Cricetulus griseus: one gene and its partners. The main gene of each other region encodes a partner of the protein of the gene in region 4 in a complex. Links are inferred from orthologs where the notes say so. Each region holds a gene or a part of one and is shown on either strand. Other genes may lie near its edges. The genes, in order: Itgb3, Grb2, Ntrk1 and Shc1.

Evidence for each region.
Region 1: the proteins of Shc1 (region 4) and Itgb3 are in contact, whole or in part, in an NMR structure (PDB 2L1C), measured with the Homo sapiens proteins. The link is inferred for Cricetulus griseus from reciprocal best matches to the Homo sapiens genes SHC1 and ITGB3. Residues at the interface, in NP_892113.4 of Homo sapiens: Ser175, Met176, Arg177, Asn182, Arg184, Thr185, Gln186, Thr188, Arg189, Glu190, Ser193, Leu194, Arg208, Arg209, Lys210, Arg214, Pro215, Leu216, Ser217, Ile219, Met257, Gln258, Ser259, Ile260, Ser261, Phe262, Ala263, Ser264, Gly265, Pro268; in NP_000203.2 of Homo sapiens: Trp765, Asp766, Thr767, Ala768, Pro771, Leu772, Tyr773, Lys774, Glu775, Ala776, Thr777, Ser778, Thr779, Phe780, Thr781, Asn782, Ile783, Thr784, Tyr785, Arg786, Gly787, Thr788.
Region 2: the proteins of Shc1 (region 4) and Grb2 are in contact, whole or in part, in an NMR structure (PDB 1QG1), measured with the Homo sapiens proteins. The link is inferred for Cricetulus griseus from reciprocal best matches to the Homo sapiens genes SHC1 and GRB2. Residues at the interface, in NP_892113.4 of Homo sapiens: Asp423, Asp424, Pro425, Ser426, Tyr427, Val428, Asn429, Val430; in NP_002077.1 of Homo sapiens: Arg67, Glu71, Arg86, Ser88, Ser90, Asp94, Ser96, Gln106, His107, Phe108, Lys109, Leu120, Trp121.
Region 3: the proteins of Shc1 (region 4) and Ntrk1 are in contact, whole or in part, in an NMR structure (PDB 1SHC), measured with the Homo sapiens proteins. The link is inferred for Cricetulus griseus from reciprocal best matches to the Homo sapiens genes SHC1 and NTRK1. Residues at the interface, in NP_892113.4 of Homo sapiens: Met176, Arg177, Ala178, Leu179, Ser259, Ile260, Ser261, Phe262, Ala263, Ser264, Gly265, Gly266, Lys279, Asn283, Arg285, Ile301, Ile304, Gly305, Phe308, Glu309, Phe312, Lys313, Gln314, Tyr315; in NP_002520.2 of Homo sapiens: His489, Ile490, Ile491, Glu492, Asn493, Pro494, Gln495, Tyr496, Phe497.

Annotation. Positions count from the first base shown.
Region 1 is NC_048600.1:117,668,093-117,675,176, reverse strand, and holds part of Itgb3 (integrin beta-3), read right to left. Parts: intron 5,493-7,084; coding exon 5,397-5,492; intron 4,844-5,396; coding exon 4,754-4,843; intron 3,509-4,753; coding exon 3,374-3,508; intron 2,147-3,373; coding exon 1,717-2,146; intron 1-1,716. UniProt on the Homo sapiens protein: Integrin alpha-V/beta-3 (ITGAV:ITGB3) is a receptor for cytotactin, fibronectin, laminin, matrix metalloproteinase-2, osteopontin, osteomodulin, prothrombin, thrombospondin, vitronectin and von Willebrand factor.
Region 2 is NC_048600.1:128,243,013-128,250,096, forward strand, and holds part of Grb2 (growth factor receptor-bound protein 2), read right to left. Parts: intron 3,333-7,084; coding exon 3,210-3,332; intron 1-3,209. UniProt on the Homo sapiens protein: Non-enzymatic adapter protein that plays a pivotal role in precisely regulated signaling cascades from cell surface receptors to cellular responses, including signaling transduction and gene expression.
Region 3 is NW_023276806.1:66,667,465-66,675,020, reverse strand, and holds the start of Ntrk1 (high affinity nerve growth factor receptor), read right to left. Parts: upstream 4,953-7,556; coding exon 4,741-4,952; intron 2,004-4,740; coding exon 1,929-2,003; intron 1,700-1,928; coding exon 1,628-1,699; intron 1-1,627. Other genes in the region: Insrr (insulin receptor-related protein), read left to right, coding at 7,316-7,400. UniProt on the Homo sapiens protein: Receptor tyrosine kinase involved in the development and the maturation of the central and peripheral nervous systems through regulation of proliferation, differentiation and survival of sympathetic and nervous neurons.
Region 4 is NW_023276806.1:65,122,779-65,130,608, forward strand, and holds the start of Shc1 (SHC-transforming protein 1), read right to left. Parts: upstream 5,226-7,830; 5' UTR 4,817-5,225; coding exon 4,322-4,816; intron 3,775-4,321; coding exon 3,704-3,774; intron 3,240-3,703; coding exon 3,176-3,239; intron 3,062-3,175; coding exon 2,942-3,061; intron 2,464-2,941; coding exon 2,410-2,463; intron 2,121-2,409; coding exon 2,069-2,120; intron 1,898-2,068; coding exon 1,771-1,897; intron 186-1,770; coding exon 1-185. UniProt on the Homo sapiens protein: Signaling adapter that couples activated growth factor receptors to signaling pathways. Participates in a signaling cascade initiated by activated KIT and KITLG/SCF.

The DNA of each region.
Region 1 (7,084 bases), on a different chromosome or scaffold from region 4:
TGCAAATGAAGCCCATCTGGGTCTTAGATTATCACAGAAAACAATTAGAGCCTCTCTGTTCAGTTGATTACACAGAATACCCATAACCTAGCTCCAACCAATTTGTAAATGTCTACAGCCTATCTGTCCCAAACAGGATTAAGTCACAGTGACTACAGTCCAACATAAACCTACCTCCAGAGCCTAAGAAAAAAGGCTCGGCCTGTCCATTTGCCCTGAGAGTTCTAAAGACCACATTAATAGTGATTTGGCTTCTCCTGGTCAGGAAAACACCCAGAAATGGGTCTTTGGGACCAGTTTGAAGTTATCAATAGGCCTGGGGGTGGGGGGGTGCACTGAATTTGCAATAAGGAACAACTCGGATCCTTCAGGCTCAAAATTACAGTTCCCAGGATGGAGAGACAGCTTGCATTGCCAACATGAGGACCTGAGTTCAGATCTCCAGCACCATGCTTTAAAAAAAAAAAGCTAAACTCAGTGGCACATGTGTGTAATCCCAAAATTAGGAAACAAAAACAGTTGGATCCCTGGAGTTCAGACAGCCAGCCTAGCCAACTGGTCAGCCCCAGGGTCAATGAGAGATCTAATCTCAAAGCATAACATGGAAAGTGATTGAAAAAGACACATAAATCTAGCTCTGGGATGGGCGTTGGTGGCGCATACCTTTAATCCCAGCACTCGGTAGGCAGAGGCAGGCCAATCTCTGTGAGTTCGAGACCAGCCTGGTCTACAGAGCAAGTTCCAGGACAGCCTCCAAAACAATACAGAGAAACCTTGTCTCTAAAAATCAAAAAAAAAAAAAAGTCTATCTCTGGTCACTATACCTATATACACACATGCATGCCTCGTGTGGGAGCACGCACACACACACACACACACACACACACACACACACACACAATTTTAATCTGCTGGTAGGAAGTCACTATGGCAACATTATCCAGTGGAACTTCCTGCAATGTCAACATGTTCAATATCTGCATGGTCCAATATGATAGCCACTAGCCACATGAGGCTACTGACCAACTGAAAACTGAATTTCTGTTTCTATCTCACTTAGTTAATAGCTACACATGGCTAGTGGATACCATTCTGGACAGCACATGAATACACGCAGTAAAAAACAGATGCCAAAACAAGGATAACATTTAACACAGGTACACCACTTCCCAAACACTGTTCTGGTGCCCCCAACGTCCTGCATATATATCACTACTGTCTACTGGTGATAGAACGATAAAGTCATGTAAAATGATTATGAACTTTACAGTATATTCCGATATCATATATTTTCTGTCTGTAAACACTAACAGTTTAATTACCAAGAGACTGGTTTCTTTAGTTGAAAACTAAGTCAGTCCTTATATTCAAAAGGATTAGGAACCTGAAATATCAGAGTGAGAAGAACAAAAAGCAAAACAAGCTACCTCTCCTTGACGTTTCTCCACTCCTGCCTACCTCCAGCTTAGCTTCCTATGCCCCACGAACAAGCTAAAAGATCCGGTTCCCTCCCTCCTCTGCTTATGTCTGGGTTTCCACTCTGAGTGAAATGGATTCTCAGTTCTGCCCACCTTGCCAGCCTCAAGCCTTCCGAGTGTTTCCCAAGGCACCGGGGTGTGTATACATGCACGGCTACCGAGCACACGGGTGTACACTTCTACTGAGGTGTGTATGCATGCATGGCTACCGAGCACGCGGGTGCAGGCTTCTACTCACCAGAGCACATCTCCCCTTTGTAGCGGACACAGGAGAAGTCATCGCACTCACAGAACTTGCCAGTGATCTTGCCAAAGTCACTACTGTGACAGACACACTGGCCGCAGAGGCACTCGCCTCTCTGGCTGCAAATGGGTTGGCCCTCCTTGGAGACGCACTCTTCCTGCTGGGAGGGTCGGTAGTCCTCCTCAGAGCACTCACACATGGCTCCCAGCCAGCCCTGGTCACAGCGGCACACTCCACACTCAAAGGTCCCATTGCCGTTGTTGCAGCGTGGGCTGAGAGGCTGGGCAGAGGCCTGGCAGGCACAGTCACAGTCAAAGGAGACCTGGACAGTAAGGCTATCCTTAAAGCCCACAGGCTTGATAGTGAAAGACTGCTCTTTCTCCTTGGGGCAGCCGCGTACCTTGGCCTCGATGCTAAAGCTCACCTGGATGGAAAGATGACATTCAGACCTAAGTGGATCTGAGAAATGCTACGATGCACCCTACCAAGGAAAACAAAACTAGGTGTCTGAATTCAACCATCCCAGGGGGTTCCGTGACCTTAATACTATCAAAGTCTACAGAGTAACAACGACAGTGGCATAGAAGTTACCACTGTGACACATCTGACTGGACAGATGGTTACAGACAAGCAATAGAAGGCTGTTCTATTCCCGAGAGAGAAACCAGCTGAAGCAGGACAGAATCAGTGATTTTTGTGAGCACTACACTAGCCAACTAAGCCAGCTGGAGGATCAATGTTGCATATTAACAGCAAGACAACAAGATTCTGCTTTGTGCCACACCATGCCAAAGAGTGGTTAATCAGTCCCAAACTGAAGGATACTGTATAAGGCATCATTGCAGCGTGTGAAGTGTGGGGCTGTGGACATACATGCTTGGAAAATAAGCTTACAGGGCAATGGACCAAAAGATTGACTTCTTGTCATTCCTCCCTGCCATCCACCAGTCTCTTAGGTAGAGCAGAGGAGGACCAGCACACAAAGAAAACCCGGGCAGCTAGAGAGATAACTCAGCAGTGAAGAATGCTGGCTGCTCTTCCAGAGGACCTGGGTTCAAATCCACATGGCAGATCACAACCCTCTGTAACTCTAGTTCCAAGGAATCAGATACCATCTTCTGGCCTTCACAGGTACCAGGCACCCACATGATACATAAATATGCACATAGGCAAAATAACCATATGCATAAAATGCAAAACAATAGCCATCAAGAAAACCATGGAGGGAATGCAGGGGCAATATGAGCATCTGCACTCTTAAGTGAGTCTCAAGGGGTCCAGGTATTTTTTCCTGTCCACTTGCTGCTGGATTTTCATCACCCAGAATAAAGCCTGGCGCACAGTCAGTGCTCAGCTAAAGTCTACAGATGATATACTGCCATTTTATGTCACAGAGAAAAGAAAGGCACTACTCTGGGTGAGTAGATAAGAGATCATTTCATTTGCAATCAGATATACAGGTGTGAATATCTCAAAAACTGATGGAGATGTTAACTCAGTGGATACAGAAACTTTAGGCAGCAGAAGCTTCAAGAGGAAAGGTTAAGAGCTCTTGAACTTCTAATCTGAAAAGGGTTGGAGTACACACAGACTCTGGGGTCCACGTCACAGCTTCAGTATCAGTCCCTGCCTCGCCCACTGCCCACCTTACCGTGTCTCCAATCTTGAGTCCCACACAAGACTTGAGGCCTGGGATGACCTCATTGTTGAGGCAAGTGGCATTGAAGGATAGTGACAGCTCTTCAGGGAGGTCACGCACTTCCAGCTCCACTTTGGAGCGGATTTTCTGAGCAGAAAGGGACAAAAGAAAGTAAAGACACAGACAAAGGCCAAAAGCATCCCACGCAAAGCCAACCCAGAGGCCTGGGACGTGCTTTGGTAGTGCCGGATGCTGAGGGTTATCTGCCCGTTGCTGCCAGAATGTCTCTGTACTCAGTTGCCTCTTTTGTGTGTGGCTAGGACCTGGCTCTCCCTCATTCTGCCCTACAGATGCTCCTTGTCAATCTGGCCCGCATCTACAGTCCCCTCCACCTCTAAGCGCCCCACTCACCGTCCGTTCTGCCCTAGCCTTCCTTTCTCTCCCACCTCCTTTCCAGAAGATGTCATCTCTCCCAGGGCTGGCCATCCTCTAGGAGCACAAGAGGAAAGCAGGAAGGCCACATGGGAGAATGGCAGCCTAGGGCTCCCAATGCTGAGCTCTGTCATAACATGGGCCTGCATCTTTAGGCATGATCCCACAGGCAAACCAGGCCACGCACTCCAGCTCGCTTTGGGACAGAGTTCCAAAGCAGTTTGTACCGTGACTTGACAGTTGTCATTGTAGAATACTTGGCTTCTCTATGTGCTGTGTTCAACTAAATCACATGATATGAAACTTCCTGCCACTCCTAAAAACATAAAAAGCCAGACCTTTCCTTTGTTCTAGGAATTGGTCTAGAGAGAAAGGCTGCTTTTGAAGAGGGTCTCTTTGCCTTCACGCTCATGAACATTGTCTCTCTTTGGCTCCCCCTACCCACTCTCCTCCTGACCTCTCTCGATCTCACTCTTCTGTGTTTGTTTGTTTGTTTGTTTGTTTGGTTTTTCGAGACAGGGTTTTTCTGTGGCTTTGGAGGCTGTCCTGGAACTAGCTCTTGTAGACCAGGCTGGTCTCAAACTCACAGAGATCCCCCTGCCTCTGCCTCCCGAGTGCTGGGACTAAAGGAGTGCTCCACCACTGCCCAGCTTCGCTCTCACTCTTAATAAAGCTCCTCTTCAGGCTTTAAAGGGACACCTCTTGTCCCCTTTAAGGCCCTATTATGTTTAGACCTCCCTATTATATTGTTTCCATCTAATGCCTCCCTTCCACCTCCAGGCCCAAGCATGGCCTTGAGGCCCATTCATTTTAAGAAATTTCAATCCTGGGGGGAATTTACATGTCAGGCTCCCATTGTAGAGGGACCACTGCATCCCACTTTTACTTCTTTTTAACACCCTCTGCTCAATGAGCCACATCCAGCAGACTCGACCAGCCCTCCCAGGCCAATATTCTTACCCCATAAGCATCAACAATGAGCTGGAGGACATTGCTTGAGTCAACAGACAGGATTCCCACTGTGGTCCCCGGAATGAGCTCACTATAATTCTAGAAAGGAAGACAAAGATGTCCACAGCTTGCTCAAGGAAAGTGGTCTCCTCAAAGTCCCCCTAGTCAGTCTTTTGGGGGGTGGGGGGCATCAAGACAGGGCTTCTCTGTGTAGCCCTGGCCGTCCTGGAATTCACTCTGTAGGCCAGGCTGGCCTCAAACTCAGAGATCTGCCTGCCTCTGCCTCTCAAGTGCTTTAATTAAAGGCGTGTGCCACCACTGCCAGACTGACAGTCTTAAAGTGAAGTTGTGAGGACACTGTGGGATGCCTCACTTGTCACTACCAGAACAGATCTATCAGATTTTCATATCTGAGGGAAAAGTAAGAAACCTTTTTACTCCCCTCCCCCAACTGATTTATCTCCTCACCATCATCTCAAACATCTACACCCTCTTCCTAGCAGGTTAGAGGCTGAAGGAAAAAGGCTATAGGGAGTTATGTTAAGTACCCAGAGAATGAGTTTTAAAAGGATTTTTTTCCTGGTTGGGTCCATGGCCACCTGGGACAGGTCCATCTGTGGCAACAGGACGGAAGCCCCAGAGGCATAGTTACCTGGTAGAGGTTGGCCACGTCTGCAGTGACTGCGAAGATCAGGTTAATGTTATTCTGGGATAGTTTCTCAGTCATCAGCCCCAGAGACGGGTAATCCTGGAAAAGAGGGAAAGGTTCATGGGGATATCGCCAAGGAAATGTGAAACTTAAAACATTTATGCACTAATCAAAGTGAGGTGTTGTGGTTTGGACATGGCTCCAGTGTGTCCCTTGGGTTTCATGTGATGAAATTGAATTCACACTGTGAGATGCTTGGGTGGGGGGGGGATGAAGACAAGCCCCGCCCCCCAACAGTACTGGGGAGTAGAGTATTCGGGAAGTATGGTTAGAGGTCATTACAGCAAAGCCCCCAGAGTTGAATCCCACTAGTGTCATGAGAGGAGAACAATGAAAACAGAAACCCATACACACACTCCCTGACCTCTGCTTCATGCCGGCCTGAGTCTTGGGACTCAGCCAGCAAGATGACCACCAGATGTGGTCTCTCAAACTCGCAAGTTCTAAGAACAAAACTGAAGTTCTTTTCTGGCTTACTGTTAGCAACAGAAAGTGGATATGAAATGAAAGTTGCTATATGAGTGAGAAGGGCAATGCAGTGCAAGCTTAGCAAAGAACCCTAAGCTGGTGGTGTTCCAAAGCCAAGCACCTTCCTTCCCACTCAGATTCAAACCAGCTCCATGAGTTAAGGCCCACCGTTGCAGAGCTGTGGGCAAATGTCCTAGCCTCGCTCTACTGATCAACCAACACGTGACCAACAACCATCACTCACCCCTACTCCTCTTCTACCAGGCACTGCTCTAGCTCACTCCTCCTGCGAGTGACCTTCATCTTGGCAATCCTCCTCCTTCCTTAGCCAAAGCTCACCTCCTCCAAGAGGCCTTCCTTGACCACCCCAGCTCCTAAGGAGCTTTCCTCTTCCGGCTGCCAATAGCCCTTGACTGTATAACACACTTAGCATTCAGCATGCATTCGCTGCTATTGATAAATGTGCTGGAATATATCCTCTCTCTTCATCTAAACAAAAAAACTTGTAGGAGTAGGTCCTTATAGCTTTTTCATCTCTCGCAGCTCCTGATCAGTGCCTTGTATAGACTAGTATCAGAGTCCGATAGTGCTCAGCTTGTATATGGCTAATACCAAGGACTTGAAGAGACCAGGAAACAGTATGAACCAATATGTCCATGGGCTCATAGACCTTGCAAGGGAGCTCATGAGTTCTCTAGCTCAGTCTCCTCCCTTGAATCACTTTTAAGCCACAAAATGGTTCCTCTATTGACTAGAGAAAATAAGGAGTATGTTTTAATAATAAATAAGGTTTTGTTTCTTATTTAAAAATAAACAGTAGGCTGGGGATGGCCTGGTGGATGAGCAATTATCTAATATACTATGAGACGTTGAATTCAATTTCCAGACTAAGGGAAAAAAAAAAAAAAACAGGCATGGTGGTATAAGCTTCTAATCCCAATACTCAGAAGGTTGAGGCAGAGGACTGCAAGGAGAAAACCAGCCTGGGCTATATATAGAACAAGGCCCTTTATCATTTAATCAATTAATTAAAATCAGGTATATTGTCAAATTACTGTAACCCCACTGATGTGAAGGTGATGGCAGAGGACTAAGAATTACAAGTTAACCTGGACTGCATGGCAAAGCCCTGACTCAAGAAAATGAAGGGGGGTAGGGGGACA
Region 2 (7,084 bases), on a different chromosome or scaffold from region 4:
CTTGTGGACATGATAGCTGCACAGCAACCGAGTCTTCAGCTGGACAGAGTGGGGACTGTTCCGGGAGCCTCCCCTAGACCTCTCCTGACTGCTGGCCCCAGGAACAGTCTTCACGAGGGCAGTCCACCCACTAGTCTCACTCTGCAGACACCTGATGATCTACTCACACAGCCCAGTAATGAAGGTCCAAGCTTATCTGCTTTACAGGTAAAAAAGCCATGTGACATCCAAACCCTCGCTCAGGTTGGCTTTGAGCTCACTAACTGGCTAAGCAGGTCTAAAACTCATGGTGATCTCCTGACTCAGCCTCCCCAGGGCTGGGATGACATGTGTGCCACCAAAGCCATGCTTTCCATTGAGTTACTGCCATACTGTTTCTTTTTCAGGGTAACGAGAACCAAATATGAAGAAACAAACACTCTTATCAGTTGACAACAAGGCTAACAAGTGTGATTACTGATGCTGGCCGGATCACAGGGTCTGCCCTAGTGACACCTGGGCATGACAGTCACTCAGCCAGGACCTTGCTTCCTGATCACTGCCAAGCCTTCAAATCTTTTCCAGGAGTCTCTCCAGTTTAGGGCTTAAAAAAGGTGAAGGCATTCTGAAGACAATCCAGCAGGAGGCAGCACCGAGCTTCAAGCTAGGGGGGGCAGGACACTAGCGCTTCCTAACTAACACTCAGGGCAAATCTGAAACCAGATACACTGTTTCCCCTATGGACACACATTGCAGCAATATGAAATCATTTAAGTTATTTAAAATCCAGGAGTTATTTCTGCAGTTTCCACTTGATCTTGGTAACTGAAATGGAGGAAAGCAAGACCAAAGCAGTCAGACAACTTCATTATCACATTTTCACTTGGAAGCCAATGCGCTGGCGAAAGCAGAGGACTGCACATCCGAAGGCCTTGTCGAGGGCCCTTCTGGGTTTGCACCTGGCTTCCGGAGAGTGCAGGTCACTGACTGCCAGGGTCACTTCTACCACGGCCTTTTAACCAGACTCTGACATCTCGAAACCAGTGCACCATCTCCGAGATTGAGGCCGTGTGAAGCCCTTGGTTCTGTGAAGATGCCTGTGTTAAAGGCAGTATTTCATACTCTCTCTCTCTGCCCACCTCTCCGTGTGCACGTGTGCCAGCATGTGTGTGGAAACCGAAGTCAATGATGGAAGTCTCTGCCATATTCTCTCAGAACCAGCAGCTCACTGATTAGGCCAGGCTAGCTGGCCTCCTGGCTCCAGGGATACCTGTCTCTCTTTTACCCCAGCTTTTACACGATGGGTCCTAACTCGGGCCCTCATGTTTGTGAGGTAGGTACTCTATCCTCCCCCTTATTTTATTCCTAAAGTGATAGCACATTAACTTTTTTTAAAGTTTAATTTTTAAAGTTTTATTTATTTATTTATTTATTGGGGGGGGGGAGAGTTTGTGGCTTTGGAGGCTTGTCCTGGAACTAGCTCTCGTAGACCTCACACACACTGGGCTAGGTCTCCATCCCTTACAAGACTTCCTTTGATGGAAGGGAACAGCTTGGCCTTAAGGGCATCTTCAGGAAACGCACAGAGCAGGGTCTGTTGCTACCCACTGGTTGGTTACTTCTTTCTCCTTCCTAAGCTGTTTTACTGCTACTAGGGGCAGCAGAGGCCAAAAAAGCAGATGACACACAAGCTGCTGAAGCATAAAATGGTAATTCTACAAGCCCAGCTCCACATGCTGTCAGAGCCATCCGCACATGTGTCTGGCCAGGAGCTTCAAGCCAGGTGGCGCTCGCCTTCAGTCCCAGCGCTCAGGAGGCAGAGGCGGGTGGATCTCTTTGAGTTCAAGGCCAGCCTGCCTGGCTCACAGATCACATGACTTCCAGGACAGCCAGGGCTGTTACACAGAGAAACCCTGTCTGGAAAAACCAAACCAAACAAACAAAAAGACCTTCAAAAGTCCTGGTTGCAAGAGGAAACTATTCTTACACTGAGTTTGAAAAAAAAAAAAAAAATACTGCAAGCCAGCTGTGGCAGTCCACGCCTTTAATTCCAGCACTCGGGAGGCAGAGGCAGGTGAATCCCTGAGTTTGAGGCCATTTAGACAAAAAGCATAACTTTGTTCTGGTGCCTAGATTGGAGGCCTGATATTCCTACTACACAAAAGTGAAGGCAGGAAGATGGAAAGTTCAAGGCCAGTCAGGCAATTCATTCATTCATTCATTCATTCATTCATTCATTCATTCATTCGCCATGATGCTAGTTAACAGAACCCTGAAACCCACACCTGCTACACCCAGTTCCCAGCGTGGGCAATGGAGCAAGACCTTGGTCAGTGCGTTTAAAAGACAACGGCAGGACTGGTGGGGTGGCCCAGTGAGCAGAGGCGCTTGTGCACAAACCTGACAATTTGGGTTTAAACCTCAGATCCCTCAGGGCAGCAGTCTGTCCTCTCATGTCCCCGGGGATGGGGTTAGAGGCACCAGGTTCCCCCAGCCCTTTATGGATAAAGAATGAGGGGATGTACCTACTCACGCCTGTCATCACAGCACTCAGGAGCTCAGCCGAGACAGGCAGAGCACCGTCAATTAATTTGAGGACAGCCTCTGCTATATAGCAACTTCCAGGATAGCCTGAGGTAAGAGTCTGTGTTGGAAAGAAATGACTGAAAAGACTCTGGGGGTGGGGCTTTTGCAGTAACATGTTAGCTAGAAAAGGATGACCCCCCCCCCAAAAAAGATGACCAGTCAGACATCATGGAAAATCAGGATCTCACTATATAACTCAGTCTGGCCTGGAACCCACCGAGATCTACCTGTCTTTGCCTCCCAAGTGTGAGATAAAGGCACGTGACACCTTGCATGTCTAAGTCCTATCTAGATTTTTGACAGGGAATCCCACCTACTCACAGAAACATTTTCAAGAGACATGAAAAGCCTCAGATAGCATCTGGTCCAGGTGAGCAACAGGAGCTGAGATGACATGTGTTATTTATTCTGCCTGAGTGGCAGCAACTATACTGAAGGCAGGACCAGGGACCCAGGGACCAGGGACAGGGACAGGGACCAGGGCTGGTAGGGAGTAGGAAACCGGCTATGAGTGACATCAGTTCCTGAAGGTTCATGAAAAACACTAGGATTTCCATGGAAAGATTTGTTAACATCTTCCCACAGCCTTACATTTCAGTCAATGGCAGCAGGTTTCTGTGGACACTCCAGCAGGAAATACTTACTTGACAGACAGGGAGAAGTCCCCAGGGGCACTCTCGCTCTCTCGGATTAGGAAGGCCCCATCATGCCTCTGTTTGCTAAGCATTTCTTCTGCCTTGGCTCTGGGGATTTTGCCAAAAAACCACCTAAGGAAGGAAGGCAATCCAGTCAACATCTGCTTCCCCACAAAGAAACTGGGCTGTCCAGCCTCACACGTAAATACGAGATCTCTTTGCTGGTGGAAGCTACTCTTCACAAGCTGGTCTCCTGCCTAAGGCTCACCAGGCCTGCTCTGGCTCAGTGCCTTCCAGAGAGATGAGCTGAGCTTTGAAGCAGCTCCACCCACTCCACTCTCTAGATCAAGACTCAAGGAAGGCACCGGTGCAGGCCACTCTTCAGACGAGACGATCCCCAATGTGCCACCTGAAGTCAGGTTTCTGAAGCCAAAGACAACCCTGCCCCAAATTCATCAGAAGGGCACTCAGGAAAGCCCTGCCGCACCTGCCACGTGGGGTGGGGGGGAGGATGGACTGGACTCGGGACCGCACAGAGTCTTGTCAAGCCTGAGTGCAGGAGGGGACTTGGAAGGACTAGAAGCTGGAGGCAGGGCTGCTTCTGCTGAAGCACAAAGGGAGGCTTAGTTGGTGAGAAAGTAGACAGGGTATGGGTGCCAGCACTCCTCTCCAGCCTCAGGACAGGCTCAGGGTGCAGCTTTCCCAGCCCCTGGGAAAAGCCCTGAAGGGAGACAGAGCATGGGGGTGGAGGACACACTGCTCAGTGACAGGATACTTGCATTGAGTATCAGCCTCACATAAAAGCCCAAACAAACAAAAACCAAACCACAGGATCAGGAACATCAGAAGTTACTACACACAGAGCTGGGCAGCGGTGGTGCAGGCCTTTAATCCGAGTGCTGGGATTAGAAGTGGCCACACCGCTACTGCCTGTCTCCTAATTGGAACTTTACAAAATAGATGTGTCAAGAATAAAAAGGCTGAGTGTGTGATGCACAGCTGTAATCCTAGCCATGGGGAGGAAGAGGAAGGAGGAATAGTGTAACTTCAAGGCTGGTCTGGGTCTCATTCCAAAAACCTGTCTCAAAAACTAAAACAGAAGGAAACATTAGTTTGAGAACCATTTTATGAACCAAAAATTTCTTGTCTATCTGCACCTGGTTCCAGCACACGGGGTCGGGAGACCCCATACAGCAGGAGGAACAGCACTCAGCATTCAGTCAGAGACTCTACTTTCACAGGCTTTTATAAACCCAATAAGCTTCTCTAAAAGTATTCCTGTTTGCAGTGCTGGAGGCAGAAGTCAGGGCCTTGTGCGTGCGGGGCTGGTCCCCTCTAGCACTGAGCTAGACCGAGCCTGACGGGTCCTTTTAATGGTGATATTTATGTATAACGGCATGCCTACAGACAAACGTTCTGCTAGTCTTTAAAAAGACTGGTCTGTACTACCCTAGAAATAGCAAGCAGGAAAGCCAAGGGGGGGTGGGGGATGTATTTTCCAGGGTATTATTTATAGCACGCCATAGGCTCCGCCCACATGTACTTACTATGAAGAGTGTGTGGATCTGTCGGCCTTCACAGGTGGCTGGCACTCTATTGTATGTACTACCTCTACAAACAAAGGGGAGCAGGGCTGGCCTCTGGCACACCACACTGTGGTGTCACACTAAGCACCAGGTACACTGGGCTACTTGGCGGCCTGTAAGTCACAGAGGCAGGCGCTGGGGACCAGCAGCCCCCAGCACTATCAGAGACTTGGAGAGAGACTTTTGAATGTTTAGTTCCTTCTGCAGAGCTCAGGCGGAGGGGGAGGGGCTGGGACTTTCCTCCCTCCCGCCAGTGCAAGGCGCCCAGCAGACCATGCTGATGTAGGTGGGTAGGAAGTTATTTAAAGTTATTTAAAGGACCAAGGGTTTGATCCCAGGCCCCCCCTGCAGGTTAAGGGTTGCGCCTCTGGCCCTTTCCTTCTTCCACTTCTTCCCCCAACCCCAAGAGATGGTAAGCAGGCATACCACCACGCAAACTCTCATGAGAGTGGCTCTCCTGTCAGTGGCAGTACCTACAGACTTTCCTTCCACAGGAGGGTGGCTCTATCTTTAACAACCTGATTGAAAAATGCCTGTGTTACCAGACCATCTGGAGGGCGCAGACCACGGCAATTTGCACCCAGGAGGCGCTGGTTCTGATCCAGCACAGCTGTCAGGAATCCACAGCTCTCAGGCTATCTTGCTATGCAAGCCCAGGCTGGCCTTCCCTTTCTTTAATTTCAGTTAGTGTGTGAGTGTGAGTGCTCGGGTACTCGCCACCTATAACCCCATGGTGCACCCGTGGAGGTCAGGGGGCAGCTTCTGAGAGTCACTTCTGCCCTGGGATCTGGGATTGAATTTGCGCTGTTGTCAGGTTTGTCAGCCCCTGGGCAGCCCTGCATTTGTGATCTGCCTACTTTAGTCTCTGGAATGTTGGGAAATACAAGTACACACCACCACACCCATCCTTCTCCTCTCTACTCTAGTGCTGGGAATCAACACCTCGTGAGTTTGAGGCAATGCTCTACCATGAAACCATGTGCCTTTGCAGTTTTTATTTTTAAAATTAATATTTTTAAGGCACTAGGGGTGGATTCCAGGGCCTTGTGCATATAAAGTGAGCCCGGCCTTAATGGGCCACGAAAGCACAAACTTTAGGGGAGCTTGGCATTGTCCAGTGATGAATGTTTGCCTACTATTCAATTCCCAGGATAAAAGAAAAGAGGGGGAGGGTGGGAAGGAAAAAAAAAAAAAGAGTTGTGTGTGTAGAGGTGGCTAACTGTTTAAGAACATCTAATGTTCTTTTAGAGGACCTGGGTTCAGTTCCCAGCACCCACATTAGTGGCTCACAACCACCTATAACCCCAGTTCCAGAGGATCAATGCCTCTTTTTGATGTCTGTGGGCTCACATACATACACTCAAACACAGACATATAAAAGAAACACACAATTTACTTTTTTTTTTTTTTTTTGAGACAGGGTTTCTCTGTACTGTTTTGGAGCCTGTCCTGGAACTCGATTGGTAGACCAGGCTGGCCTCGAACTCACAGAGATCCGACAGCCTCTTGCCTCCCAGGTGCTGGGATTAAAGGCGGGGGCGCCACCAACGGCCGGCCACACTCCTTCAATACAAACTCTCGGGAGGCAAAGGCAAGAGGATCTCTCTACAGAGAGAGTTCCAGGGCAGTCAGGGCTACACAGAGAAACCCTGTGGTGATATATTGTTTATGATTTATTAAAGCCACTGGAGATCAAAATACCAAAGCAGCCACCCTGGTTAGCTACAGATTGAGGATTCATGGAGACAGGATTGCCATTTCAGCTTGGTAGAGGTAAAATCTACTGGCTTGGCTGCTTTGCTTCTCTAGTCTTCAGCTTGAGGCTTGAACCCTAATACCAGTCTCTGGGTCTACAAAGCAGGCTTACTAACACCACAGGAATCAGATGTAAGAAGTTCATGTTGAAGTTTCAGAACTTCAGTTTACCCCACTCAAGCCTGCCTTTCAGTAACCTGGGCCAGCTGTACTGCACACTGGGCCCCAATCTTAGGTTACAGGATCTCAGGCAAGAGGCATTCTCAGCCACGGACAGAGGTCCAGGAATCTAATGTGCATATGCCATTTATTTGAAGGTTTAGCATTTAGATTTCTTCATTAAGGCTTTAAGCCTAAATAGCAGCAAAAAAATTTTAATGAACCACTCTGTACAAAAAAGCAAGGTAGGCAGGACAGTGATGGAGCATACCTTTCATCTCAGCATTCAGGGTGCAGAGACAGGAGGGTCTCTGTAAGATGGAGGTCAGCCTGATCTACAGAGTGAGTTCCAGGACAGCCAGGACTACACAGAGAAACCCAGTC
Region 3 (7,556 bases), about 1.5 Mb from region 4:
GAAGCCTGAAGGAGGCTGCTGCCCCCACCTCAGCCCAGGCAATTACAAGTATAGCATGCAGTGCCTGTGAGTGTGTGGGAATGTAGGAATGTCGTGGGCAGGTAAGTCTTTCTGAGTATAATCTTCTCCTTGGGACAACAAGGGTTAATCCCACTTAACCCCCTCCCTGACCGACCCCAGGGAGAGAGATCCAAGGGAACAGCCGGTTGCCCTCCCCCCACACCTCAGCCCCAGCTGGCGAAGTGCTGAGGCCACAGCTGGGGTAAGGGGCTCCATCTGTGCTCCCACCAAGGAGGAGAGAAGGACTTCGGCAACCCCCTCCCCCGCCTAACCTCAAGACCGGGATGTCAAAGTACTTCCTCAGGTCCCCTTCCCTTCCTGTTCCTCCAAAGGCACTTCAAGCAGGAAGAGACCCAGGGACATAGCTCCCCAGGCAAAGGAGAGAGCACCCGGCCCCGGCTCCGCTCCTGGGCCCCCAGGAAACTGCTGCAGGAGGCTCAGTACTATATGTCTACAATACACTGCCACTGCCAGGACCCTGGTCTTTGAAGGACATGCCCTAACCACTCGCCTTGCCTACCATCCTTGACTTAATAGAGACTGGGTTGAATAGGAAAGCTCACACAAGGCCCCGGAACACCACCACCTTGGACACAGATTAGAGGTGGGAGTAGAACCTGTTCTGTCATGTATAGCCAGGTGACCTCAGTCAAGAAACAACTCAATTCCCAGAATCTTTACCTATAAAATGGGGATCATATCATCTCTGTCCCCAGGTTGGTTGCAAGCAGTTACTGCCATGGGAGTCATGGACTGCCACCAAATACACATTTTAATTTTTTTTAAGGTTTTTGTTATTGTTCTTTTGTTTTGTTGAGACAAAAGGCTGGCCTGAAACTTATATAGGTAGCCATATATGACCTGGAACTTCTGATCCTCCTGTCTCTACCTCCCCAGTGTTAGGATTATAGGCATGTATCACCACACCTGGTTTATGGAGTTGGGGATCAAACCCAGGGCTTTGTGAACAGCAGGCAAATCCTCTACCAACTGAGCCATATCCCCAAGCCCAAGTGTACATTTTTAAGCCAGTACATATAGTAGGTAACACAACACCTGTGTTCAGTTCTCCAGACCCATCTGAGGGGTTAGAGGACCCAACCCAACCCTGTGAATGACGGGCTCCTGACCCAGGGAGGTGCTGCTAGAGACTCTAACTGTATCTTCTACCTACTCCATGGCCCTCCCTGTCCTCTACAGGACAAGTAGTTATAACGCAGGGATGAGGAGGGTGAAGAGTAGCAGACAGAACACACCACCTCCCAGGTTGGCCTGGGGGCAGGTCAGCACACACCACAGGAGAGGAGATGAAATTCTGACCAGAACCCAGGGGTCTTACTCCTGCCCCTCAGTCCCTATGAGCTCCAGGCAGAGAGCCTGGCTGGCTGCTTTTGAGAAACATCTCTGAGTCAAGGAAGTGAGGCAACAGGGATTCTAGTCTGACTAAGAAATGTCATATGGAAAGGAGCCCAGGCTGGACAGTTCCCTGGGCAGCACAAAGCCTATCAGCATCCAAGTCCGGAGGTCCCTCTCAGCCCCACCCCACGGGTCCAACCTGGGCACTCACAGGTGACTGAGCCGAGGAGTGAAATGAAAAGCATCGGGAGCCACAAAGCGAAGGCCACTCTTCACAATGGTTCTAGGGAAGGGGTGAGAGGAATTTAAACTCTGCCCTCTGCTCACCCAGGCCAGACACCCCTGTGGAGCTGTGCACCCCTCTCTACCCCTTAGGCTCCACAGTTATCTGGACCCCTCAAACCCCTGAGCCTCCACACTTCTCCCAGACTCCCAGGTCTTCTGAGAGCCCAATATATGTGGCCACCCACCACCCTGTGCCCAGTCCCACCCGGTCTACCCTTAGTCCTCACAGGCTTCTCAACTCCCCCAGGCCCTGCAAGTCCCTGGACTCCAGGCGTTGTAGGTGCTGCTGGTTCTCCACGTAGCTGCAGGGAGAGGGGTGGTGAACAGGGTCAGGGCCTCAGTGGAATTACCCCATTCCCACCAGCCACCCACCTCCCTCACAGGCACCTTTCACACACAGACCCATGTCACCTACTCATTCATGCGCATGCCCCCACATGCTGGCACGACTCACAAGTCACACATGTGCATACAGGCATGCATGCACCCTCACCTTTACAAAATACAGACTCTCACATGCCTCCTGCAACACATAGGCAACTGCACAGAAACACACGGGGATATCCTCATACTCTCACCCAAGGACACACATGAACAAAGCTCACATAGACGTCTCTCACGCATACACAGATGAGAAGGTGTGAAGATATGTTAGCCAGTGCACACTGCCATTCTCAGCTTGGGGCTCCACTTTGATAGCAGGCCCCTTCAGCATATATATGCTCAACAATAAGCGGGTCGTGCTGGGGCTCACTTCCACAAAGGGCAAGGCTCTCAGTGCTGCTGCTCCACCCAGTGCTAAAGATGCCCCAATGGTCATGCTAATGTGTGCCCCAAACACAGCTCTGAGACTGCTATCTGGGTTCACTGACCCCAAACACACACACACACACACACACACACACACACACACACACACACACCACCCTCTGTCCCCTCAAAACCTTTCGTTCTTCCCTACAGCATCCCTACTCTCCCCTCTCCAGTACTTTTCCAAAACAAGCAAAAAGCATAGAGCTGTTAAGGACCCCTTAGTCCCTCCTCAGTCCATGAAGGACACAGGAAGGGAGAGAGGAGCATGGAGCAGATGGAGTCTGAGTGTGTGGCTGAGGAGAGATGGAGATACAGTGTGAAACACAGGAAGGCTGAATGAGGTAGCAGAAGGTGGGCAGAAAAACAGAGTAAAAAACTCAGAAGAGACTGAGTAGTGGTGGTGGGAAGGGACATACAGATAAGAACAGGGGGCCACAGAGATAAGGACTGAGAACCAGGGATGCAAAAAGAGAAAGACGGCACTCGGGGTGAGGTGGCTGTGGTTGTGGTTGCAGTCCTATCTTGTGGATCTGGCGTCCCGGAGTTCCTGTGAAGTTACTTCCCTGTAGTGACATGTCCTCTGCAGTGGCACGTCCATGTTTCCTCTCCTCTCCCAACTCCCGTATGTGGCAGGGGCCCCTGACTCACTAGCAGTTCTCAGAACTCTTCCCCTCTCTTTTAGATTTTCCCTTAGTAAAAGAACAGCGAGGGAACAGGCTCAGTCCAGCCCCCCCCCCAACCCCAGCCCTGCTTCCAGCCTTGACTTCAATGGGACAGTACGTGCCTATCCTCAGCCTAGAAGCCTAAGGAGATGCAGACGGCCACTTTGGGGGAGGCCAGATCCCTGTTCTGCCCCAAGGGTTTCAAGCTTCAGAGACCCAGGGAGTTGATAAGATGTGAAGAGCTGGGTAAGTAGGGCTGTCAGGCAGTGTACTCCAAGCCGCCTCATTTGTTCAGATTCATAATCAATCTGTCTATTCGAGTCCATTAGCTCCTTGTTAGCTATGCGGGTGAGGGAGGAGGGAGAGGATTGTGCAGGACGAGGTGGGAGGATTGGCCCCACCCAGGGGGACATCTCAGCTCACCGCTCTGCCAACCTCCTCTTCTACAGCCCTAGCTTGCCCACTGCCTCTGTCCCTGGGCTGGACTCCCTTGGAGCCTGTTAAGGCACTGGGGAATGAGAACGCTGAGAGGCACAGTCAGGAGCCGGGACTCTGGTTTGAATGGGCAGGCCTGGGAGCAACAATCTAGACCTCATGCCCCCTCCCATCATGCAGGAGCCTAGGCCAGACCAAGACAAGGCCATCCCCTCTCTTTTTGGTCTCCCTAGGGCCATTAGAAAGAGATTGAGTATCTCCGTTAATTACTACAAGATGCCCGAGTAACTCGGTGCCAATCACGGCCAGCTGCTGGTTCTACCAGCATGCAGAATACTCAAGTATTTTCCAGCCATCACCCTGGGATGCTGAGTCCCTTCAGGTCAATTATACTCTCATAGGTTTCACCAGCTGCTAAGAAGTACTTGCATATTTTGTAACCAATTATTGCAGAATGTCAAAGTACTGCAGAGCTTAAGGTTCCGCCCAGCTCTGGACCTGGAAGAAGTGAGAATCCCTCAGCAACAGCCCTGACTCCCTGATACAAGTAGGGAGACATTGGTGAAAGGGGAGACGGGAGAGAAGCAAAGGGCTTTCATTTCCCACATCCAAATCAAGAAGTCAATGGAAAGAAGAAAAGCTCATACAACAAGCTGGTTCCTCATCAACTCCAGCTCAATCACAAACCCAGGGAAGACCTAGGGTCCCTGGCCAAGACAAGGGAGAGGTTGGGGACTGGCTTCCCTCTAAGATAGAGAAGATGGCAAAGGTGCACAGTGCCGAATTCTCCACAGCTAACCCCCACACCGAGGGGCAGAATTTGGGCTCTTGAATGAACCCCACAAAGAGGCTCCTATATCGATGGACCAAGACCTGGTCCCCTTTTGCTCTGCCCCAAGCCAGCACCTCAGCCAGCTACCCTTAATCCTGGGCGACGTCCAGACAGTGACTGCGCGGCTTTGCCAGGGTGGTGGCAGCAACAGCAAAGCCGCTGCAGCACAGCCAAAGGTTACACGTGCCAGCCTCCTACAGCAGCCAAGCCTGGCCCCTCAAGCCAGCGGTGAGTGCGCGCCCTCGGGGAAAGGCTGTGCCCTCCTGACCCCGCGTGCCTCCCCCGCCACACACTCACAGCTCCGTCAGGTTCCCGGCGCCCCGCAGGCCGTGGAGGGTATTCAGGGCCCCTGCCCTGGTGCAGCGAAGCCCCGAGGGGCCCACGGGGCAGCAAGCCTCAGGACAGGATGCGGCGCAGGCAGAGGCCAGCATCAGCGAAGCCAGCAGGCCTCCTAGCCCCGCGGCTCGGCAATGCCAGCCCAGCTGCCCGCGCCGCTGGCCTCGCAGCATCGCGGCGGCGCCCGCCAAGCTTGGGCTGCGCCGTCCGTCCGAGCGCTCTTAGCTGCCACCGCCCGGCCTCGCGCGACACGTGCGCGGGGCGGTGTTAAAGACCAGCCACCAGGAGAGGGCGGCACCCGCGGCCACGTCCCGCCCCGCCCCGCCCCGCCGGCCGGTGCCCCCAGCGCCCCCTCCTCCCCTTTGGGGCCCTAATGCCAGCTAGCCTCCCTAATGTCCCTGGCGGCTGCAGTAGACCTGGGGCGGAGGATTGCTACAGGACGCCTCACAGGCGTCTTCTGAGACTGGAGCGGGCTAGGAAGCCGATACGTTATTTCTCCCAGTAAAACAGCTGCATTTTCAGATTTGCAGGGACAGGGAGAGATTGAGCAAGGAGAAGGTTGAAGTCCAGGTCATCCCAAACAGCCTCGCGGTGCACATGCCTAAAAGAGTGTGCATGTCACTTGGAATAAGTTTGATGAACACTCTCCAGACGCTAGTAAGAAAAGGGAGATGGCCCCAGAAAGACCGGACGCAGAACCTGCGGAGGAAAACAGAAGGGGCAGAGAAGTGTTCTCTCAACACAGCTGGAGGGAGAGTGGAAAGTGGAGACCGCTCAGTCCGCAAGAGACCACAGGGTGGCGCTAGAAGCCCTTGCGCCGCGGCGTTTGCGCCGGGCCTGGGTCTTCGAGGGCCGGGAAGCGCGCGCGGTTCGCAGCCCTGCCAGCCTGTGCCTTCTGTCTTAAGGTCAGTCCCCAATCGCAGCCAGCCAGTTGGGGCACAAGGCCGGGTAGGGCCAAACAGAGCAGGGCTGGCATCGATCGCCGTCCTGACAAGTGCATCGATTTCTGAGCGGAGAAATTAATAGATCTCTTAGCTCTTCGGACGTGGGAGTTGCCCGCGGGTAGAGCTGGGAACCATCGACCCTTGGTATTTGTGAACCTGGGAAGTCCCAGGATCCAGCATTCAGGCCATCAAAGGGCAGGTGTCGCGCATTGGCCTTCCTGGCTGCAAGTCTATTAAGTCTCACACTTTTTTGTTTTGTTGTTGGTGGTGGTGGTTTTTGTTTTTGTTTGGTTTGGTTTTGGTTTTTCGAGACAGGGTTTCTCAGCAGCTTTGCAGCCTATCCTGGAACTAGCTCTTGTAGACCAGGCTGGCCTCGAACTCACAGAGATCCGCCAGCCTCCGCCTCCCGAGCGCTGGGGTTAAAGGGGTGTATGCAAGTCTCACGCTTAAGAGGGGACAGACAGGTGGGCTCTGGGAGTGACCGAAGTATGTAGGACCCAGCTAACCAGTGAAGGATAGATAGTCTTAGTGGCAGTTAGCTTTCTGCTCCAGGTCCCAGCATGAATAGTCCCTCGAGTGTCTTCAAACGAGTACACAGAGTATACACAGAGCATACAGAGACACACCAAACATCCCGAGTTCTTAAAAGTAACCAAACGAAGGAGGAATCTCACAAAGGGACTTGGCAGGGACGCGCCCCGCGGCAAGGGGTTATGGTCAAAGTGGCCTCAGGAGGCTGGGGGGTGCGGGGGCTGCTAGAGGCGAAGGTCTGAGATCTTCAGGTTCCACAAGCGGACTATGCGACCTGTCCAGCCTGCGAGAAGTTACCCTCTAGGGTGTCAAAACACCTGTTGGACTCCAGAACCTCCGCTCCTCAGACCAGGGCGCCCAGTCGCTGGCTCGCCGCCTCCAGGTCTGCAGCGAGCAGAGGCGGTGCCAGAGGTGGGAGAGAGACGCCGCCAAGATTCAGTTGGGAGCTCAGTTCTTGGCCCCCAACCCCTTCGGTATTTTGGCCTTATTTCCCCCAACACATCTGTCCCCCACCTCCCTCAGTTGTCAGGCTAAATATTTTTACTTGACTTTGTGGGAGGGGCGCAGAGAACAGATAAGTCGGCACAAACCAATCGGTTTCTGGAAAGGGCGGGAGTTGGGTGAGGTCCCTGCGTTGCAGCCCCAGAAGCTGCGGCCGGCCGGCAGAGGTTGCAAGTCTGTGTATGCCCGGGAGGTCCGCGGAGACTCGGGGTGGGGTCCTGCGAGCCTCTGGACCCCCGCCGCCATCCCCCGGGCGCTCCTGGGGCTTTCGCTCCGTCTCCTATTGGGACCGTCTGGCCCCTGGACCTTCGAGTTCTGAATCCTGGGTCAATTTCTCCCTCTGGAGGCCTCTCTGAGGCTCTCCTGCTCCTGTTCCATCTCCCTCTGTTGCAGCCTCCGTCTCTGGCACAGGCTTTGTTTCCTCTGTCTCTCGCTGTCTCTACTTGGGATTTCTAATCCCTTTGCCCCTGTGCCCCACCCCCAACCCCGGAACCTGGGTCTGCAACTCATGAGACCCTTTCTCCCTGGAGGACACCTGGAGGACACTCGGGGCTGAGATGATGGCAGTGCCTGCTCTGTGGCACTGGAGAGTACACTTGCTTATGAGCCTGCTGTCCTTGGGATCTGGTCTGGACACACTAGAGGGTGAGTCCTCAGCAACGTCTTTCCAACCCCCACCTCCCTTCCGGAACACTTCTACTTAGTCTTTGTTTTGGGTTTTTTTCCGAGACAGAGTTATCTCTGTGTAGCCTTGGCCATCCTAAAACTCACTCTGTAGACCAGGCTGGCCTTTAAAGATCC
Region 4 (7,830 bases):
GTGTAGCTCCCAAGTGGCTGGGCATCTGGCCAGTGGGCAGAGTGGGTCGAGCAGCTCCTTCTCGAAGCCTCATGTCTACCACCCCACCGAGAGGGGGTTCCTTCCCTGGGAAGTCATTATAGTACTGATGGTCAGGTGGTTCTTCTTCCTCCTCATCCCAAGCTGAGCCATCAAAGCCAGCCATCCTGAAAAGGGAAGGATGGAGTGAGATGGGTGTAAATATGTGGTGGCCTAGGGTCCAAGGAAGGGAAAAGAACTAGGCATATATTATGGGTCAGACCTGAGGCTTGGTGTTATAACCCTGTAAGGCTGGTATTCCTTCCAAAATTTTAAAAATAAAAATCAGGGTTGGAGAGATTTACACAAGGTCTCTCAACTGAAAGGAGGTAGAGTTGAGATTTAATTTGGTTTAAAACCAAAAACTCTCACTTTTGACAGCTATGGTATCTCCTAAATAGCTCAGTGGCTAAGGTGTGAGGGTCAGAGTTCAGATCACCAGAACCCATGTACAAGACAGGCCACCTGTACAAGAATGGTGGCCACCTATAACCCCAGGACTCTGGAGGCAGAGACAGGATCCAGAGCAAGCTGGTTGCTCTAGCCGTATCTGGCAAGCTCCAGGTCAGCGAAAGATCCTGACCTTCAATAAACAAAGTATAGAAGAAGACATCTGATATCAATTTCAGACATCTCTATAAGCATACATATGTGAATACATTTGGACACACAACACATGCCCCAACACATGCAAATACATATACACATACAGAAAAAAAAGTATTTTCTCAATCTAGATTATTTTTTTTTCTCTTTTTTTAAAATTTTTTTGAGACAGGGTTTCTCTGAGTAGCCCTGGCTGTCTTGGAATTCATTCTGTAGACTAGACTGGCCTCAAACTCAGGGATCCACCAGCCTCTGCCTCCTGAGTGCTGGAATTAAAGCCATGTGCCACCACCACCTAGCTAAAATCTAAATTCTTAATAATGTTCAGAGGCAGGAAAGCACAGAACAATGAATGGGGGAGTATGGTGCAGAGGACCCAGGTTTGGTTCCCAGCACTCACATGGCAGCTCACAACCACCTTTAATTCCAGTTCCAGGGGATCCAGTGACCTCTTTTGGCTTCCACAGGCACTGTATGCACTTACATACATGCAGTAAAACACACATACACATAAAATAAAAAATCTTTGGGGGCCAGGCATTGGTGGCTCACACCTTTAATCCCAGCACTCAGGAGGCAGAGGCAGGTGGATCTCTGTGAGTTTGACACCAGCCTGATTACAGAGCAAGTTCCAGGACAACTTCCAAAGCAATACAGAGAAACCCATTTCGAAAAAACAAAACAAAAAACCCCCCAAAACAAGGGGGGGAGGGTCCTGTTCCAGGACAGCCAGGGCTGCTACACAGACAAACCCTGTCTCAAAAAACCATAAATAACAATAACAATAATAAACCACAGAGGGATAGGCTAAAAATGAGGAACCTGAGCCAGAGTCCATCAGGCTAGAAAAGGCAAGCTAGTGGGAGGTGCTGGAATATAACCCCACCCTAAGCAAAAAAAAAGGAAGAAACTATCTCTGCAGCAGGCATGGCCCTCACAGATTTCCTGCTGAGCCACTGGAGACCTAACACAGTAGGAAGGAGGAGGCAGGGTCACATAGGTCACTACCTTTTCTGAACCCTGGGAACTCAAACTTGGGAAAAGAAAACTACTCCCAATCCCAGCCTGAGGCTCAAGAGCCGCCTCACACTCTTTATACCAGCTCACCTGTCATGGGGGGTGACCAGCTTAGGTGGATTCCTGAGATACTGTTTGAAGCGCAACTCAAAGGCCTGACCGATGGTGCTGATGACATCCTGAGCAAGCCCTTCAGGACACTCCAGGATATGGCAGGCTGGGGGCACAGTAGAAACTGCCAGTGAGCGCTGAGGTAGGGTGTTGGGAGGACCCAACCCCAATCCTCAGCAGGATAGCCCCATCAAGTATAACTGGTGAGAGTAGGGGAGAGAGGTCCCACTTGCTTCTCAGACAATTGGCCCTACCCAGTGTCACTCAAAAGCCTCACCTCTCTGATTTACGGGGTCTTTGGCAACATAGGCAACATACTCAGCTGTGTCCTATGGATAGATTCAGAAGAGACCGGTTAGCTAAATTCTACAACTCCATCTTATTTGACCCCTAAGACTGTCCTTTTCAGTTATTCCCACAATCCTCTCTCTCCCCCACAGTTTTTTGAAAAAGGATTTCTCTGGCCGTCCTGGAAGTTAGAGGTGCTGGAATTAAAGGCATATGCCACCACGCCCATCCTCTAGCCAATACCACCTTTTTGTTGTTGTTGTTAGTCAGTATCTTCTTAACCCCTAGTCTCTCATTCCCCACCTCCATCCTTTCTGTTCCCCAACTCACCGGATCCCCACCAGACGCGAACGAGATGGACTGCATGTGATGGTTGGCAATGATCTGATGCGGGCAGGGGATGGAGAAGGAAGGGAACAATCAAGGTCAGCAGCCTCAGGGTCCCGTGTACCCTCACCCCAGCTATGACCTTGGCACCCACTCTCATTCTCTCATGTGGGCAGGGGATGGAGAAGGAAGGGAGTGGTCAAGATCCCGCGTGTCCTCACCCCAGCTATGACCTTGGCGCCCAGTCTTTCTCTCGGCTTCTAATCCTACACTCTTCTAATTTTGTTCTATTTGGCGGGGGTGGGGGGAGTGGGGGGGTGTAACAGGGATGCAGGGTCTCACTGTATAGTTGGAACTCAAACACCTGCCTCTGCCTCTGGAGTACTGGGATTAAATTTGTCACTATACCCAAGCCCTCTAATTTCTTCCTTCTCTACTCTCCAGTTGCTCCTGAGGACTCCAGGTTTTTGGCCTCCAGATCCCCCCACCCCATCATCCCATAACTACCCCCGTCCCTTTCAGCAGCCCCACCCACCTGTTTGCAGTCGGCTGCCATGAGGTTAAGGCTGCTGGTAGACACAGTGAGAGTGATTGGCATTCCAGCAAACTTCAGGTTACTCCTCCCCAGGATAGAGCTGAGTGGGCGGCTACAGGGCTAGGAAAGGCCCCAAGTCTCAGAACCTGAGCACTGGCAACACCAGGAGACACTTCTGTCTCCTCCCCTTGTGCCTGCGGTTGCCTTCCCCCTGCCCACCACAACCACACATACCTTTCTCCTCCTTGTGGCTCCTTTGGCACCAGGCACGGCTTCACACACCAAACTGATGGCCTCCCTAGAGAAACAGGGGTACTCAGACCTACTCCTGGCCTCCCACTGCCTGGGGCTGCCACAAAGCTGGGGGAGGGGAAGAGCAGGCCAGATTCTCAGAGCACTCCAGGCTCTTTGTCGTGGTGGATTGAATTAAGGGCCTTTAATATTTGATGACACTGAGGGGCTGCTTCCTGGCTGATTGGGTTAGGGCCTCAATGGTTATAGCCCCACCTCTTCCCAGTTACCAAATTTGCCATTCCCTTCCCAAAAGCAGCCTTTTGTAATCCATCGTCCCACAGTCTCCCAGGCTGCGTGGGTAAGGTGGTGCTCCAGACCAGAGCTGGCTCTTTGCAGTCAGACACACTGGTGTAACTTTCAGGTCTCTTAGCCACCCCATGAGAAGTCACCATCAGCACCACCACCAAATGCCCACCTTTCCTCCTCCTCCATACAAGACTCCAACAATACACCTGCCTCTCCACTAACCTGGTGACCTGAGTCCGGGTATTGAAGTCAAGGGCTCGCATTGACTGCAGGACCTCCACACAACCCATGTACTGTGGGGGAAGGAGGCAAGGATGGATCAGCTGCCCCCTCCCCGCAATACCCCACCCTTTGCAGAAGGTTCTAGGACTGTGCCCTATGTAGTCCCTAAGGGAAGTAAAGGTAAAGTAGCCTTCCTACTTCCTGGGGCCACCACCCCATAGTGAAGAAGGGCCACCAAAGAGGACCTTCATGCACTGTGGAGAGATTGTGAGAGGAGTTGTAGGCACTGGGTGGGATGGAGTGACAGCTATGGAAAAGGGAGGAGTCTAGAGGGAAGAACCCAGAAGTCATTTTTCATTCAACACTTACTAAAAGCCTCTGATGTGCTTGACCATTGTGTAAGCTGGGGGTAGGGATCAAAGGAAAGGGGACCTAGGCAGAAGACTCCCAGGCTAGAACAGAAGGCATAGAACTGGAGAAGGGATGTGGCAGGCAGGGTTAAGAACTAGGGGAATGCCACAGATGTTGGGGGAAGAGCAGGAAGTCCCAGCAAATCTGGAGTGAGCAGAGGAACTGGATGGGGAATGGGAGGGGGCAGAAAGGAGGATGTACACTCACCCGAACCAAGTAGGAAACCCCAGGTCCCATGACTTTGTCGTTGGGATGCAGCCAGCCTCGTGTGGGCTTATTGACAAAGCTCCCGTGTCTGGTCCACTCCTCGCCCCCCAGCTGGCCCCCTTCTACCCGAGTCCTGCGCCCGCCGCCTCCACTCAGCTTGTTCATGTCCTGGAGGAGGGGCAAGAGGCCTGAGTCCCGAAGGGCTGCCCCTGCATTCCCTTCCCCATCTTCAGCAGCCTTTCCTGGCTCTCCCTTAGGCCCCAGGCGCCCCCCAGCAGGATTGGCCAGCTTCAGGTTGCTCATCCGGGGAAAGAAGGAACACAGAGTAGTCGGACTATCATCCCCCGGCAGAGGAGGCAGAATGGGTCCCAGGGATGAGGCTGACGGGGAAGGCAGCTCTTCTGTGGGGGTAGACCCTGAAGCCCCCTCCTCCAGCGATGACAGAGACTCATTTCGAAGTGGGTTGTACTTCGGCTTGGGGGGTAGAAGATCCATGGCTGGGGTGAGAAGGGGGGCTGCTGCCTGGCCCGGCCTGGCCCCCCTGCCAAATTCAGGCAAGGGGGCCAGGCAGGGGGCATCCCCAGGCCCTTAGCCTGGTCTGACCTCTGCAGCCTGGTGATAACAGAGGACCTAGGGAAGCGAAGGACAAGTGGCCTCTGCTCTCCCACGTCAGACCAAGACAGTTTCAGGCCACATCCTTGCCCAGCCCTGCGAGGAAGCCTCTTATGGCTGAGGAGTACAGGCTGGACCCAGAGCTGACTGGCTCCTCCCCAGGGGCGGGGAACCAAGGGGAGAGACCAATCCCAAGGACAATGCTGACTCACAGGCTCAGAGGGGCAGAGACACCTCCTCACACAATGTGTGCTAGCCAGGCCACTCTCCCTTACCCAATACAAACAACTAGGGTCTGTCTGGGGAGGATGAAGGTGCCAGGTAGGAGAGAAAGATGGAAGAATAAGAAAAAGAGGAAAGAAGGAAAGGAAGGAGTTAAGAGGAACTCTGGATTAATCCAAACTGACATGGGCTAGCCAAAGAGAGCAGGAAGCCCGGAAGGTTAGGAGGGATAAAGGAGGAAACAGAAGCTGCTGAGGGAGGAAAGGGGGGGGGGTGATCTAGAGTTTAGTATTTCTCTTACAGCCTAGACCATCCCCACCCCCCACCATACAGTAAGTGAGGTGGCAGCCCCAGGGAACCTGGGCCATTAGCATCCTCAGCCACAACAGCTGTGGACAAGAGCAAGGAACCAGGAAGAGAAAGTTGTCCCAGTGGGTGTAGATCGAGGCCAAGAGGGAAGCAAAGCTGAAACAGGAGGAATAAGGCCAATTTGGGCGGTGGTCTGGGAGCTACTAGGCAAGAGCTAGAGCAAGCCTGTCCCTTAGGCTTGTTACCTACCAAGGACCAATGGACTTCCTGGACCCCTTTCCAGAGGATGTAGAGACAATCAGGCTACCTTTAGACCTACAGACATATTTCTCTCCTTACAGGCTGTAAGGTCCACCCAACAGTGTCCCTCACACTAGTAGAGGAGTTGGCCTTGGAGGTCTGAAAATGAAACAAACAGAACTGGTGCCTACAAGCCACAAAGGGATAATAGGGCCATAAACAAATCAGTGTTAATAAAGACAGGAAGAAGAAAGGGATACCAGAGGTTGGGATCTGGCCATAAGTGCATAATAACACCAAGCCCATATTCCTTTGCCCACAGCTTCCTGCCACAGCTCTGCTAAAGGCCATCAGGAAGTTAAAGAAAGTGACCAATCAGCATTACTCCAGAATAAACTATCACTTATTTCCTTTAAAAAAAGAAAAAGGGGGGGGGGGAGAGGCAAATACAAGAAGTAAAAGGTAGTTTCTTTACAGGCTCACCTCCAAACTACCTTTAGGTTTAGTTTGGAGAATTAAAAACTGTATGATTGTGATTAACAATACCGGAACTTAAAACGGGTTAAATATCATTCTTCCGATTTTTCACCTGCCCTTAGTCCCCATCCCAGGAGAGCTGTTACTGAATATCGAACTTCTTCCTGAAAAGAAACTCTGTCATCCCGTCTACTAAGTAAGACCTCAGCTCTTAGAGGAGGAAAAATTCTGCCACAGCCATACACTTCCAAACACACACAATGATTCTTCATCTTGAGAGATGGCTTTCTCTAGGAGCGTTCATATCCAGAGGCAAGGAATGACCAAGAGTATGCACATTTGGAAGAAAAGGAAGCATGAGCCTTTAAATCTGCTTAAAGAGATGGGAGATTATCTACCGGACCAAAGCTAGGTAGTGGCAGCTGGGGGAGAGCCGTGTTTTGTACCTCAGCCCAGCAGGGAGGAAGCTGGAAGGGTAGGAAATAGCAGGAAATGGCGAAAGCCTCAGGAATGTTTCCAGCAGGGAAGGTTGGGCAAGTGGGGTCAGGATGAAGGCCAAACAGGAGTTATCTGGTTAGGGGGAGGGGTCTTTTAAAAACAACGGGAAAGGCACTAACCCCTACTCCTGACTCCAAAACAAGTTTTTCTTCTGATGGCAACAAACTTTCACTCCTGTTAGGTTCACACAAATCCAAACTTAGTGCAGTCCAGCCACAGGAAGGTACCACCTATGGCTGTCTCAGGAATAGGGGCTGACCCAGGAAGGAGTGGGATCAAGCCACTCTCTAAGCCACTCTCTCATCCATTCTACGGCCGAAAAACGAAAGCCAGCCGCTTCAACTTAATTCACAGTCAGAGAAGGTTACAGGGGAAAGAAACCACGCTGCCAATAATCTCCTTACAATCACAAATTTCAACCCCCCCCCCCCGATGGAGCACGACAGCTCAGGAAAACTAACCCCAAGGCTTAAAGAAAGGAGAGGGATATAAAAGCAGATGAAGCGTCCGGAACTTAAGATCGGGGCTTTGAGGCACTAGACCCAAGCTCGGCATGGAAAAGTCTCCTGAGGGGACCTGGTCCCTTACGAGGAATGCGCCACATTCCGGGACCAGACGTGGACAGTGGAAGGGGCGGGGCTCAGAAGGGGCGGGCCCCCAGAGAGGCGTCGCTTCTACAAAGCCGAACCGTTCTTTCAAAAGCAAGGTTTGGCCCGTTTTGGAAGCCAGGCTTTTGAGAAACTAGGTTTAGTCGGGAGTCCTGAGAAGGCGGTTTCAGAGAGATGAAACGACTGATCTTCCAGAGCTAGGAAAGCCTATCTGGGGGTAGGAATTCCAGGGAAGGGACGACAGGGTGTGGTCGCCACATTAAGAGACTAGGGGTTCGGGGAGCCCCTTGAAGTTGGAAGGTGGGACTTCCGGGGAGAGGGTCTCGGGGGCGGGACTTCTACAACACGACCGGAAGTGGGGTCCAGGGAGAGGGTTCCGGGGTGGAGGAGGATTGGGTCAGCCGCAGAGAGAAAGTCTACACTCACCAGGGTCGCATGGAGTCTCCGCACCGGACCGCGGGCCGATCTGGTTCCGGATCACGTAACTGTCGGCTTAAGTCACCGCCCCAACTTTCTGCCCCGGCCCCAGCCTCCCCAGACAAA